Linked DNA regions of Oreochromis niloticus. The protein of the gene in region 1 purifies or fractionates together with the protein of each later gene. This does not show direct contact. Links are inferred from orthologs where the notes say so. Each region holds a gene or a part of one and is shown on either strand. Other genes may lie near its edges.

Evidence for each region.
Region 2: the proteins of bach2b (region 1) and mafk purify together in Homo sapiens (co-immunoprecipitation; 3 studies listed by BioGRID and IntAct, with this or other methods). This does not show direct contact. The link is inferred for Oreochromis niloticus from reciprocal best matches to the Homo sapiens genes BACH2 and MAFK.

Annotation. Positions count from the first base shown.
Region 1 is NC_031980.2:29,165,204-29,173,009, forward strand, and holds the start of bach2b (transcription regulator protein BACH2), read right to left. Parts: upstream 3,013-7,806; 5' UTR 2,534-3,012; intron 145-2,533; exon of another isoform or gene 98-144; intron 1-97. UniProt on the Homo sapiens protein: Transcriptional regulator that acts as a repressor or activator. Binds to Maf recognition elements (MARE). Plays an important role in coordinating transcription activation and repression by MAFK.
Region 2 is NC_031969.2:25,402,667-25,410,246, reverse strand, and holds the start of mafk (transcription factor MafK), read right to left. Parts: upstream 3,007-7,580; 5' UTR 2,776-3,006; intron 2,726-2,775; exon of another isoform or gene 2,287-2,725; intron 1,963-2,286; exon of another isoform or gene 1,689-1,962; intron 1-1,688. UniProt on the Homo sapiens protein: Since they lack a putative transactivation domain, the small Mafs behave as transcriptional repressors when they dimerize among themselves.

The DNA of each region.
Region 1 (7,806 bases):
AAGAAACAAACAAGATATGGTAGTTTTTCATTGCAGTCATTATTGTTGGGTTTTGTAAGGTTGCAGATAATTGATAAGCATTATTGTAATCTTCCAGGTCTATTGTGACTGTACTGCTGCTCTGATCTGTTACGGACACCTAGTGTAAGTATATTTTTATATATTGAAAATAAATTGATGCTTATGCAGTGCAACTTATTAGCTGTGTTAAAACTCGTCTGGGCAGTTACTATGAATCATTACTTAGATGTAAGTTGTTTTTTGGGACATAAAAACTACAAATATAGAATCACAAGTTGAATCTGATCAATAATGATAATAATAACAATAATAATAATAATAATAATAATAATAATAATAATAATAATAATATTGGCTTTAAAACTTTGCAAACACTGCCCCATCATAAGGTTTTAAAAAGTTATTTCACCATCTCTGCTGTTGTGAAATTTTCCTCTAGATTTCATTCAGGGATCTTGAATTCTTTGGTTCTTATAAAGTCTCTAGTGTTTTCTGAATGCAAAAGCAGAGTCACTGGTTTACACATATCATTTCACATGGTAAGAACACGATACTAACCGCTGGTCAGAGAACAGACCAGCTGGAACTGAAAATCTTCTTGCAGTTAATGTTTGTTGAGTGATGTAATAATGAGATTTCTCACTAGGGATCTATTAAACTGATCGTGCTTACAATAAAATGTGACAAGCAATTATAAAAGTATTATTTTTATGCGATTCGCGTGTCTTGATTATACTAATGGGCAAAGAAATCAAAGCTTGACGTAAGCTTACAAAGTCACTGTGAGGTTTACAGTATGGACTCCACCCCTTCCCCTCCTCACAGTACACAGAGGACTGCCATGCCTGGGAAAAGAAAGGTAGGGGGCTACTGTAGAGAACAAAGGGTTCCGTGCGTAAAACTGCGCATGAGTGCCACCGCCGTGCACGCGTCGCCAAAGCAGCGCGTTGTCTGTGAAAATGTGAGTTCACGTCAGCTGCCTTTACACCACCAGTGAGATCCTATTAGCTCCTATTACCCATGCACCTGCTCTCGGCACAGCTTAAACCCATCCCTGTGGCGGCTGCGTGGAGTCACGGCGTTTCGGGTGTTTCAAAAGAATGCGCAACGCATCATGACAAAGGTTCTTGAGCATGATGATGGAGGATCCATCCATGATGCTGCGATCGCTCCGCCGTTTGCTTTGCATCAGCATTATCAGACAAAGAGGATGGTATGCTTCCTCGAAATGCTGCATCACCGCATTTATAGCAGCATCACTCCGCTCCCTTATGATTCCAGGCCCCTCCGCTGCCGAGGCAAACACATGGCCATCAAACAATAGTCATGACGAAACAAACACTATTAAGAAAAAGCCCTGCCTGCCTGCACACTCTGCACACACGCGTCTCTTTAACGACAGAGGGAAACAATGCAAACGCGAGTGCCTGCAGCCGCCGATATGAAGCCAACTAATCTCACTGTAAACACAAACGAGGAACATTCTCATAAATCTCTTTAAGGTCGTAATGCATGGCAGCACGTGACACTACACTGTTTAGATATATATTATCCATGATCACATTTTTTTGAAAAAAAGAGTCTCCTTAAAAATGCCCCTTTATATCTACTGAGGTGCATCTCAGCACATTACTGACTCAAGATAGACTAAGACGCGATTGCAGCATCCCCTCACATGACAATGCAGCTCCGCGCAGAAGGGTGCAGTTTGATTTAAAAATGCCTATTTTATATTCTCGAACATGATGGCAGACTAAGAAATATATATATAATAATGAAATATGGGTTCAACGTCAAACGAGGGATTGATTGTTATAATGTGGATTAATGATAAGGTGTGCTTATTTCAGTTCAGTTTATTTTATTTATATAGCGCCAAATCACAACGCCCAATAGGCTTTATATTTTAAGGTAACGACCCTACAGTAATACAATAATTTCACATAGAGTGAAATAAACTGGAATAGCGGTAGTAACAGTTCTAATGAGCTCCACATGAACTAGATGCACACGTATTGAACGAGGAAGGTGTTTAATGACTCTGCATGTGAATCCTGACGGATCACCACCGACTACTTTACCATATTGGATAAAAAAACAAAAACAAAAAAACAACAGTACAGAGGAGCACACAGAGAGCGGTGACTCAAAGCATAACAGGATGCGGTACAGAGTTGTGTTTCACTCCTGAACCCGCGTTCACACCCCATCACATTACAGGCTTCAATATTCGTACCACGCGCCAGGCTTTCAAGATTCATGAGTGCGGTTCTGCTTTTTCCCCAATAAAGTCGATTTTTTATGCATCTCAGCAGGAGCTCTGCTGGGTGTAGCCCACTACCACTGCGTCACTTATGCAAGTTTGCGTCTCGGTTATGAGAGCATCAACAATAGACCGAGATTGAAAGCTAACAAAAAGAACAGCTAGAGAGCGAGAAAAGGAGAGAGAGAGAGAGAGAGAGCGGGAGAGAGAGAGCGGTCAGAGAGGAAAAAGACGTGCACGCCAGCTCACCTTTTCCGTCCTATTCTGCTCGTACTCCAGCCCTTTTGTCCGTTTCCCACAAGTTCTTTCACATGATGACTCGGTTTGCCGTTTCCTCAAACCCTCCTGGTTGCAGATGGATGACTTCTCTCGGTGCCGCAACTCGGTTCTTTGTCACTTACAAGAATGTTAATTTAAAACACACACACACAGACACACACACACTACAGTGTCTGTGATTTTACGATTTGTTGTGTACGTGTGCGCGCGCGTGTGTGCGTGTTGATCCTGCACGGCGTGCCGCTCCTTCTCTGCTGTTTGTTACACTCGACTGGAACGCCTACTCTCAGTCGCTACATTGTTGACATTCGCCCGCTGACGTCACTCATCCTCTCATTCACAACATCGTTAGCGCGACGCGGCGTTGCGTTGAAGCCGGCGGGAAGCGCGTGCGTAGTCCTTCGAAAGTGCGCAACGGAGCTTGGAGAATCGCACTATTCTGACTTTCTAGCTCAAATCCCTCCCCCTCGCGCTTGCTGGCTTTCTGGACTCCCTCCCTCCCTCCCTCCCTCCCCTGCACACCATGCTTTCTCCTGGTCCTCCCTCCCCCCTCTCGTGAATGCAGCGGGAAAATTACGATTAATGATGACACAAGGCATTTTTTTCGCATGTGAGAACAATTAAAGGGGGTGTTTAGCTGACTTATTTTCTGATCACATTAAAAGCCTTATAAGGGAACACTGAAATCTATCTATCTTCTTTTCAAGTGTGGGAACTATTTTCTTTAATGTTTTCGTTTTCCACACGCTCCTCTACCATTTTCATTTATTAATGTGCTTTACTGAACTCATTACCTGACACACATTTGCAAAAAGAATAATTAATAGTTTAAGCTCGCAACTTCCACGTAATTAACAACACAAAAGTCAGTGTGTCAGAATGAAAATATAGTTAAAGTAACCAAAGTAAAAATAATCATTAGGCAGATTCAGCCTTTTAAGAATCAAATATTTATCTATTATTTATACATTATTTATTTATTTACTTATAGCTATAATGTTGTTAAATTACTTATACATGGGATAACTTTTACTTCAATTAGAATTTATCTGTACAGTGCCAAACAACAACAACAGTTGGCAAAGACATTTATCTCTAATAACTTATATTAAGAAGACTGATATTTTTAAATGTGGATAATAATAAGTAAGAAAAATGTTAAAAATAAATGTCAAGTAACAGAAAGCTCACTGATACCTGTTCTACTGTTTGTTATAAAAATAAAAAAATGCATTATTAAAGTAAATATCTAATCAGCCAATCACATGGCAGCCACTGAATTTATTTAGGTGTGTAGATATGATCAAGATGACCTGTTGAGGTTAAAATTGACCATTAGAATGGAAAGGAGTGGTGATTTAGTGATGCTAAAGCTGACATGGTTGAAGGAGGCTACTCTGAGTATTTCAGAAAGTGCTGATCTGCTGTGAATTTCCTACACAACTATCTAAAAGGTTTACAGAGAATAGTGTGAAAAAATAGCAGATATCAAATGAGAAAGCAGTTCTCTGAGCAAAATGGCCACTTTTAATGTCAGACATTAGAGGAGAATTGTCAGACAACTCAAATAACCACCTGTTATGCAGAAGAATATCTCTGAACACACACCACAGCAAACCTTGAAGCAGATGGGCGACAGCAGCAGAAGACTACACCAGGTGCCACACATGCCAGCTGAAAACAAAAAACTGAGGCAACAGTTTGTATGGGCTCGCTAAAATTGGTTAACAGAAGATTGGAAAAAAAAATGCTGCCTGGTATGACGAGTCTTAAATTGTACTGCAATATTCAGCGCTGGCGATGGTCTTTTGGCATGGTTGATATTTTTTTTTGGCTATTTCCATTGGCTTTAGTACCCAGTGTGCATTATTTAAATGCCACAGCATATCCAAGTGTTCTTCCCGACCATATCCACCCATTTATGACCACAGTCAGAACAAACAGACATTTAGGATGTAATGGAGCAGGAGATTCACATCTTAAAAGTGCTGCCAACAAATCTACAGAAACTGTGTAATGTTATCATATCATAGAAAAATAGTAAAATACTAGTTCATTAAAACTTTACTTCAGTAAAGTGTTTAAGAAAAGTTATAGTCCATGTCCTGTCATGACAACAGTTTGACATAACTGTAGCACTCTGGCTAGTGCAAGTTCTTAAAAAAACAATATGAAATTATGAAAAACAAATGAAAAATTTCTCACCTAAGAAATTCAATAAGAAATTCAGTTTTTATTCTGTGATCATTTAAATTAATGTTTATAATACATATGCTTTGTGTGCAGTGTAAAGTGGGTCTCTACTAAATAATTTAGCTACTAAATAAATAAATACACAAATAGATATAAGGATCTAAGGAATATTGTGCAAATGAAGTTCAACCAAGCCAAGCTTTCTTTGCATTAGCTGGCTTGAAAAAACCTAAAACTCCAGTTGGAGATAACAGGTATCACGGCAATTAAGAGAAAGTTATTAACTTTCCATCCTACGCCAAGGAGATTTGGCTCAGCATGTGAAGCAGAGCATCTACTAATTGTAAAGTTAGTGGTATGATCCCTGACTAACCCAAAGTGTCCTTAGGCAAGATAATGAACCCCAAGTTCCTGATGCTCCTGGAGTTTGAATCTGGGAGAGAAAACACTTTAACATAGAAAAAATTGGGTGAATGAAAAGCACTTTGAATGCTAGATTAGAAAACCAGTATATGAGGACCAGTCCATTAACCATTTATTCTTCTTCACACAAAATGACCCTTATTAGTGCAGCCTTCTCAAATCAGAGACATTATCAGATAGCGATGAGAAAATGGTGATTGGAAATCTCTAAAGAACATACAACAGTAAAAAGCAATGCTGTTACAAATAAGACAAAAAATTCATGCTGCAGAAAATTGTTGCTCTTAGGATTTATCACACACAGTGGAAAAATGACATCTTAATTCAAGTTAATTATTTTATAGTTGAGCTTACTCTCAGTGCTACTGTTTGTTTCGAACATGTGGCTCTGAAACTTTATCATGTGGCTCATATTTTAAGTATAGTTAGTTTCCTGGTAACACATTAGCATTAAAAAAAAAGATTGTACAGTAGGACTGACAGAAGACAACAGAATATCTCTATTTCCTCCTCAAACAGCTGACAGTATTATTTCATATGTTCTTTAAAAACAATTCAGATGTAACCATTCAAGTAGAGATTGCTCTTTTGTTGAACTTCAGTCAACTGTCAGTTGGGCCACAACTTATTACAAATATTCGATCAACTCCTCACATCTGACACAGACGAGGTCTTAGGAACCAAAAAGCATAAGGCTGTGGGGCTGTTGCCAGTTTGCCTTGATGGTGATGAATATGAGTGCTCATATTTCTTTTTAAAGAATATATTCTAATATTGTAATATGCACACTCAAACCTGGAGACCGTAATTAGTGCAAAAACCACTTTGTTTTCTCATGAACGCAAATGCAAATGAATGGTGCTTTATGAGCTGAGTGAAGTTGTGAAAGGGGAGTAAGCTGGTGAACTCTGTTCAGCTTAGATACCTGGAAGGCACTCGCACCCTTTTTGGACAAGTAAACACTCACTGGAGATGTTTTAATTTCTAATGGAAGAAATGTCCCCTGGGGAGTTTGCATGTAATTATGAATTATCATTGTAAAACATACAGCCCCTTCTTTGTGGCAGAATTTACTTGGATATTGGATACTGGATATTCCACTGAGTGGCATTCAAAGAATAGCATTAAACTAACAATCTGAAATTGTGCTGCTCCTGACATCAAAATAACAAAGCCAGCAGTTTTTAAGGTGCTTAGATAAAAGACAGGGAGTTATTATATTTTTTGTACAGTATGAATAGGGAGGTGGTGATAATAATTCATGACTGTAAGTTCATTTTATTAATTTTCTTCTAGTATAATTCATAAACAAGAATTTGTAAATAAATAAGCCCTGATCATGAACACTGAACATGCAATTAACATGTTGAGAATAATGAAACACAGTCAGAGATGAAACATGGACTGTCTTAATTAAAGGATATGTCAAGAAATCATCCTTCTGATGATCAAAGCTGCAGTGTCTAGATAAGAAGTACATATTTTTCAAGCTTTCAAACTAAATAAAGAAAAAAAAACCATCATAAAATTAACATAAAATGTCAAATAAATAATCAAATAAGCAAAAAAAACTCCACACACTAAAAGCCACTACATCTACCTTCTTAGGTTTGGAGGAAAATCATGTTTTAGCATGCATTACTCATAATTTAAAAGTCAAATGTGGAAGGGGAAAATGAGGGCGCCCAGAAATAAGGAGCTAAATGACAACTAAAAAGCAAAGAAGTCTGTCAAAGGGTGATTTTGGGGAGTCTAAAGACATTGTTTGACAATGCAGCAGCTAATCCCCCAGATTAGTAAAGATATTCATATTCATATGAATCTTTGCAGAAACCTTCAGGACATATGAGGATTTTTAGCTCCTATATGCAAAGCCATGGGCCTTCAAAGCCGGGCCGGGGGCCTTCAGGAGGTGGGAGCAGCCCTGTGTCTAAAGAGTGTTGGGAGATGAGTGTCACGTCTTTGTCTCAGTGTGCGTTTTTGACAGTCATCCATATGCTCATTCTCTCAATGCATACAGAGAATTTAATTATAGAGTACACACACACACACACACACACACACACACACACACACACACACACACACACACACACACACACAGACTGCCATTCCTGCACCCAATGACCCGATCTGTTCAGGGCAGGCAGATGATTGAAATGGGCTGAGTGGGGGAACTGGGGGAAACCGTGGCAGATTAATGCAGGAGTGGTAGCGCAAATGTTTACAATGTACTAGCCTTACCACACAGAGCCTACAATGTGGACAAACAATTTAGGAATAATCAGGAAGTCTAAGTGTTAGACCTAATAAAAACAGCATGTCATTTCTTCATGACAGAAAAAGGAAGGTCCATGCAGTGATGTGGAGTGAGGGGATGCTAGTGGAACCTTTGGAACCCTCAGGCCAGATCCGTATTCCTAAATTACAAGAATATGGATCAGGCCTGAAGGTAACACGAGCCTGACGAGTCGGTCTGTGGAAGCCCCCGTTATGAATGGTGGTTAGCTGGGTCTTTGGGTCCCTCTCAGACTTGGAGCTATTGATGTAATCAAAGGCATTTGGCTTCAAGACATGCTTGCTGGCTGACAGCACTGCATTTACGTCCTTGTGCCTCTGTCTGGACT
Region 2 (7,580 bases), on another chromosome or scaffold:
GCTCACACTTCACTAATAAATGCAGAGCTGGCTTGTCTGGATTCTTTGTTTTTCTTCTCTTTTTGTGTAGGTTGGGGAGGGGGTTCAGCGCAAAGCAGACTTACTGCTGCCCTTGACATTCAACTTTAGTCTTCATGAGAAAGCGCTTGCGTTTCTTGCAATTTTCTAAGGGGTGGGGGGTGGAGAGATTTCTTCACAGACTGAGGCACGCAGCACTCTGCTCTTTCTCCAGCGCAGCACATTTGGTGGGATATTATGTGAAGGAAATGGAGAGCATAGCTGAGCAGTGAGTCATGCTGTTTACTGGTAAAAGCGACAACCAGCAGCAGGGAATCACACCCTCCTGATCTGACATTTCCTGGAAAATCCCGTTGTTTCAGGGAGAGGAAGGAAAAGTACAGAGAACCTCAGAAATGGTTGGCATGACCAGCGGAACTTTCTTGCGGAAAGGGAGGAGATCTCACCGAATATCTGTGAGAAGATATTCTCCCAGTCATGGACACTGGTTTTCAGAGCGATGTAAAGAATGAAAAAAGTGGACACATCGGTCCTTTTTTTAATTATAACTAATAATTAGTGAATAAAAGAAGACATATTAATATTCAGTCACTGCTAATAATAGTCCTAAAGATTTCGATGATGTTCCTTTAGGACAGATAGGTTGAGCAAACATTTCAAATGATTTGATTTGAGTTTGAATCACAACAAAATCGAGAGTTGCATCCAGCTCCATCAGGAATCAACAGAGAATTCCCAGCAACACAACCCGGCAATATAATTACAGGAGTACCTCTGACACTTGCCACACCTCTGACCATAATGAGGTGAAAGCAGTGGTTTGAGATCCAGTCTTTCTGACAGAAAAGACTTGATACAAGCCGCTGCCGGTGGCAGAGGGAACAATCTCAAATGCTATATAACTGCCAGGGAGTCACGTTTGACGGATGCAAGGCAGACCTGTTCAAACAATCGCCTCTTATTGCCTGTGTCCACTCTGGCTGGCATGTTCGGCTGCAAATAAAAATCACTGGCTTCCACAGTCAGTAATCAAAACTTGACATCTTTTTTCCAGTAAGAGGAGCAAAACACATCACAGCGAACGTGTTCTCTGTGAGTCATAGCATCGCTAACCACAAACATTTCACTTTCACAATACTCCACCACAAAAACGGTCTTGCATTCTGCACTGCTTTCATCCATCACCACTGTCCGGCAAAACGAGAAACAAAGGGAAGACAATTTGACCACATGCTGTATCTTCAGGGGAATTTCTCTCCCCCCACTGTCCCATACTGGTATGATGAGTCAGCTGCTGTAACTTCTCCATCCAAAAAAGATATCATCACTTTGGTGATTGAACCACATGTTAACCTCATGACAGGAGCACACCCTGCTCCTACTGCTTCAGACTGAAAGTCACTGTGCACCCACCAGAAACAACAGTGAATCATAAAGCCCCCCCTCAAGACATCAACCTGTGACCATCTAAGCGGAACAAGTTACTCAGACACAAATATTTTCCATATATTAATCACAAAAAGATCACAAGTTCTTAAGTAAATGGCAAAGGGCAAACTGAAAGGTGGACATACAAGACTGTGAAGAAGATCATTGTGAACTATTTTGGAGCCATGGTCAAAAATTCAATTAGTTATTGTAATTCCATGACAAGGTTTTCTAATATTTACCCAAGTCATTAAGAGTTATGCAGAGCAGGAATTATAGCTAAACACAGCGATAAGATAAAGTCTCTTTCGTCCTCCAAAGTGATTTATCGTTTGTGGAAATATGGGTTCCTTCTGCTGTTCCTTCTTTGTAGGCTAGTCAACCCTGGTGGTCTACCTCCACTCCACATCGTGCCCTTTGTCCCACATGTCTAAAAATGCAGACCACGTGTCGATTCCAATGTCAAAAGCAGGCTGGTATTCTGTATTATAGCACCCGCTATCAACCTCGCTGCCATGAACTGGGGAAGAGCGCGAAAATTAAGGAGGATGTGAAAAATGTTGTACATGAATTTGTTTCAACAGGAAAGTGAGGAAGTTTATTTCACTTCCATTTTCCGAAAATCTCATTCAAGTCACAGAAACGCTATAAATAAACACACATGTGGAAAAAAATGCATTTTGGGGAGTTTGGGTTTTTTTCGTTCTAGAAAAAGTTATAATCTAAAACCTTAGAGGTTCAGGTGTGCTTAGTAATAGTATATGAACATATTCTGTAACACATTCTATAACTTTAGCTCTACGTTTAATGGGAAGTGCGAAGAAATAGTGTGATTTTTACCGTCTTAATTTTTCCCTCCCACAATGCTGGTCGAAAACGTCTCCTCGCTCGCAGTTTATTAAATTTATTAGCTATAATTTTTTTTAAAGGGACCGCATTCAGTCAGCGTCATAATCGCCTCTGTTATTTTCAAAGAACTATTTCAAATCGCAGGAAAGCGGCAAAACACACCGTTTGTTTCCCCCTTTTACATATTTTCATACCATTTCTAACTTCCTATATGCGAATGCTCCGAGGTCTGCGCCACTTTTGAAGCACTGTATTATGTATCTCCAGCACAACACGTGTCCGCCCGAAAGAAACAAATCTACGAAATCAACATGAGCTTTCATAACTGGGATCAAAACTTATCCTACGAGGAGGATGCACCACACAAGCCTGTTTGCGTGCGCCACTATGTCACCGTGAGAACTCGAGTAATTTAGAAAGGAATGTCAAAACATCTTCCCGAAAAAAAATAAATAATTAAATTAAAAAATAAAATACAACCTCACCTCTGTGGACGCAGATATCTGTGGACCGGAGTGCGTAAAACTGTCAAAGTATGTTTCCTCGACAACCGGTGAAGTAAGTTGACAAAGTTGGTAAAAAGCGTCCAGCACAGACGGGCAGCGGCGTATCCTCGTACTAAATTAACTACAAAACAACAACAATGTACCAACATTCCACGCTCTGCTTCCGCAAGCACTCACGTCACTGATTCCTCGTGACCGCCCCCTCCATTCATGAAAATAACTTTGTGCTGACGTCAGTCTGGGGAGGTGGGGTGGGGGGGGAGGCCTGGGGGAGGCCATAAATAGAAGACAGATACTGCTGGCGACTGCTTTTGCTTACTTTACAAAACTAATCTGCACAAAGTCAGCTCACGTTGCCAACATTAGCCAAGAAAAACTTCTGATTTCTTAAGGAAGTCATAAACCTGTTGCTCTCTAAGTATGCTCACCACCCCCTCTCCTCCTCCTCCCCCTCCTCCTCCTCCTATAAGCACACTCTTTTTGAGTCAGCTCTGCACTACAAGGTATTCAAAAAAATACCTTTGAGTGAGGGAAAACAGCGACCTCCTCCCTCAGACTTGAGGAGCAGCAGCAGCATTCCATTCCTGAGGAAAGTATGTGGTGTAGTAGTTCAGCAGTCCCAGGATTTCTCTTATTTTAACTGCACTACTGCCAATAGCGTCACCAGTTATTCTGGGTAATTAAGTACTGAATGTAAATATGTTAAGTCACTAGCCTTTTATGGCCTCTACTTGTATGGCTTTTCCTCTGCAGCTATATGGTATTAGAAGATCTCAGCTTTGACCTGAACTGTGGTGCCTGTTAAAGTCAGATGCAGTGTGCTGACACTAGAAAAAACTTTCTTTTTTTTTTTTTTGCTGGTTGGACCAGCAAAAAGTTTTTAGCTTGTATTTGTTAGAGACAATGCAGTAAAACCCTGGGAAAAGTGAACATCTGGATCCAAAGCCATCCAAATATGTAGATTCTGGTTTTGGTTTATTAAAGTGCATACTCAGCCATTTGTAGTTATTTATTGGTTTATGCCTACCTATGACGAATATCAAACCGTTAAATACTCTCTTGATCTGTTATTGTGCATTTACCATACATCTCTTCTAAGCATGGACATGCTGTCAGGACGTCAGGGAAGTTTTTTTTTTTTTCTTTGACCATTTTAGGCCAAAAGCAGCTTCATTATTGAATCATTTTTGTTCCGTGATGTTTAATGGTGCTATCTTTAGCAAGTGGTGAGACGAATGAGGAAACACAGCAGCACACAGACACGATGTCAGATCCATGACGAAAAGCGTGACCTTTAGATAAAGAATGAGTTGTAGTTTATTAGTAAATAAAGAAGAAATGCTGAGTTGGCTTCTGGCTGTGCGATTCAGTGCGCTGAGATCTTTCTGTGCAGACTTCTCTCTGGTGGGTGGATGGTTTAACATTTACAGTTTTTCCAAAGCACTGGACAAAAACATTGGAGACTGACAATTCTGAGTCAGAGAGGAGTAGTCCTTTATACGATTCACAAAAGCTTGCTTACAGAAAAACTGACTAATTCCTTCGAATCTTTTTTTTTTACTCTGGCTTTATGCCAGACAAGCAGACTGGGATAGATTTAAAATGAATGTCATCATTTATGGCAAATGACTCAACAGTTCAACCTTTTCCCCCGAATCACATATGGAATCAATTGTTTACTAAGGATGGTTGGCTCCGTCCTTTCATCTGCGCTGGAACCTGCTTCGAGTAAAAAGCAAATAAACCAGATGAGTAACCTTCTTTTTGTACAGGTTACTTGCATCACATCACAGATTATAGATGAGACGAGACCCAAATGAGTTATTAGAATAACTGTTATTGGACTGTATTAAAGATGAGCTTAAGTAAATCAGGATCACATATTAAGTGAAATAAGATGATGGGATACAATGCAGAAAATGTAAATAAAAAATACAAAAGTTTGTTGTATTGCTTGTTTTCTAGAGAATGTGCAGACAGAGAAAAGAAAGAGATCAAACTGGAGAGTCTCTGCAGGACCACCGCGAATATTCTGCACCAGTCAGACATCCAGCTGCTCAGTCAATGGCATAACCCTCAGTTACTGTCCATCTGGCAGCAGCGTATGCCGGTGACCTGAAATACACCCGATGTGTGAAACAAAACAAAAACAGCAAAACCATGTGCAGCAGACTTGCCGGGGTTTTTGTCAGACCGACGTGCTGTGGGGTCTGGGTTCTTGCGGGCAGTTTTGAATTACAGGAAGTAACATTGACTCACTAATCTGGGTTCTTTCTGACTCAGACTTCTCAACTCCTAAGAAATCTGATCTGGTACAAAGAGGCCCACTGTTGTAAGGGGATCATTCCTTTTCTTCCAAATACTCCAAATGATTTGTTAGCAGAAGAATGGTTTTAAGATATTTATAGGATACTTTAAACTCACAGCCAATTAACTCACACTGCATTAAAAATAATAATAATCCTGTTTTCCTCCCACTAGATCCTTCCACATTGTCCAGGCACAACTTGCTGAAAATACCCGACATATTAGACAGCCAGCTCTGGCACAGTCTGAGCTGTACGTAATTTCGAAAGCTAAAAAACAGCTTTTTTTGTACATTTGTAGACTTCACATGTGACACAAGATTTAATTTGGAGCATTTACTGAACATTCCACTGACTTCACCAAAATGTGTTTCATATGAAAACACTTTACGTAACCAGCTGGCAGCTTAGAGCAGCATGGAAATGAACATGGTGAGGTTACAGTGGTAGTGATGGCAGTACTAGCTGGAGCAAACACTGGTGGACTGTTTAAAGTCTAATACCAAGGTTCTCTTTTACGCTTTAAATGGCAAAAAAAAAGTGAGTTTGGGAATTTGCAGACAGCAAGAGAGCAGAGAGAAGGACAGAGTAATTTCTCTTTTTTAGTCCTGTCACAGCTGAGCAATGCTTAAGGAATGAACAATTCACTGCTGCTGACTATGGGCGGGACTAAATATGGGCATTATAAAGTGTAACGCTTTGATGCTCTCCTTTTTTTCCCCTAAAGCTACTGATAGCTGTAAATTTGAAAAAAAAAGTGAAGATTAACACTCAAAATGAACACTGTTAATTCTCCAAATGTAACTATATACAGAAAAGTTTAGTCACTATAAGCATAAAATAAGCCTCTGCTTGCAAAGTGACAAGTGGAGCCTGTCTTAATTAAACCCATCTAGAGTTTGCTGCTTCACTTTGAAATCATCATGCCACGATCTTAAGTTCTCTCTTTTTTTTTTAATTATTTTTTTAGGTCCACAATTCCACTCTCAGTAAAAACTGTAGATTTTAGATGGCTGCCAGTTTTTACTGAACCGGCTGCCAAAGCAAATCCAACCCCAGAGTGACAAAACCCCTAGTTTTAACTGGAGGAGCTGCAGGTAGCTCATGCAAGTGTTGCTGTCAAAGCAAAGGTTTAGATAATCAGAAAGAGATGGCTCCCTGTACTGAAGATGTGGCAGGGAAAAAACTTTGATGTTCAAAGCAAATAATTTAAGAGTAAAATACATTTTGCCAACAGGCTAAGGCTGGGAGCTTTAGAATAATTTGTTCTGGATAGACAAATCAGAGGCAGATTTTTGGTTAAAGTAACAGTAGACATGTTTGTCACACAGGGAGCTTAGTAGATGAAGAAATGGCAGAAATGGTAAGGTCTGGGGTTGCTTCCTTTCTCTTGGGGGGCTGGGCAATCATTCATTGAACTATAAATTCTGCATCATAACTAAGATTATTGGAATATAATATGAGGCTACCTGTCTGAAAAGTGAATCAGAAAGGGACATTTCAACAAGGCAATAATTAACCTCCAGTCCACTCTGGAATAACTCAAAAGTAAGAACTGTAAGGTGATGGAATGGCCTTAAAGACCAGAGTTCAAAAAGGATTTGATAGAGGAACTGCTGTTTGAAAACCCTCCCGCCTATGGTTATCTGGCAACTGAAGGAATTTTGGATAGAAGAGTGGTTAAAAAATTTCAACCACCCAGTGCCAGATAGTAAGCAATTATGCAAAAACTCTTAAAATGGTTATTTCTGCTAAATGGGGCAAAAAAGCACCTGCATCCCTCCACAGAAGAATATTTAATCTTCATATTTTAGTAGAATAGCTGATTGACCTGCATCTCATTCCAGACCTTTGGCTGCGGTGTTTTTGAAAGCGAAATGCAGTTCTTTTATTAAGCTTAAAAGCAGCCAAAGTTTTGCTTGGATTTTATTTTTTTCAATTAATTTTCACAAAGGATGAAAGTAATTAAACGCATGATGTGAATCAAATGAATTGACGAGAGCTATCTCGTCTCTTAATTCATAATAAAGTGCTTAAAACTCAGAGTTCAAATGCAATGCTTGCCTTTTTGTCCTCCGACTTCACAAGGGAACACAAAGGAGACTAAAAATGAAGGTTAAATGATAAAGAAGAGGGGTATTTTTTCAAGCTTGACCAGTCTAAAGCTGTAGTGAGGAACAGTGTGCAGAAATAATGATGACTATGATTATGAGATGGCAAAATATCTGCAGACTCTGGCACAAGTGATGATGAAAAAGCTTTCCAAGGCAATGACTGAACCCCATTAAGCAAATGCCAGTAACTGCTTAAAATGATTCACGGTTTTGCAGCATTTGAGTCGGAGTGATGACATCTGCTGGCCATTTCTTTATCTTTCACTTGGGATTTTAGAAAAGACCTCATCAAAAAAGCTGAGTCCAAGTATAAAACATTGCTGTTATTCTCATATTTTTCTCCAATAGAAAGAGATTTT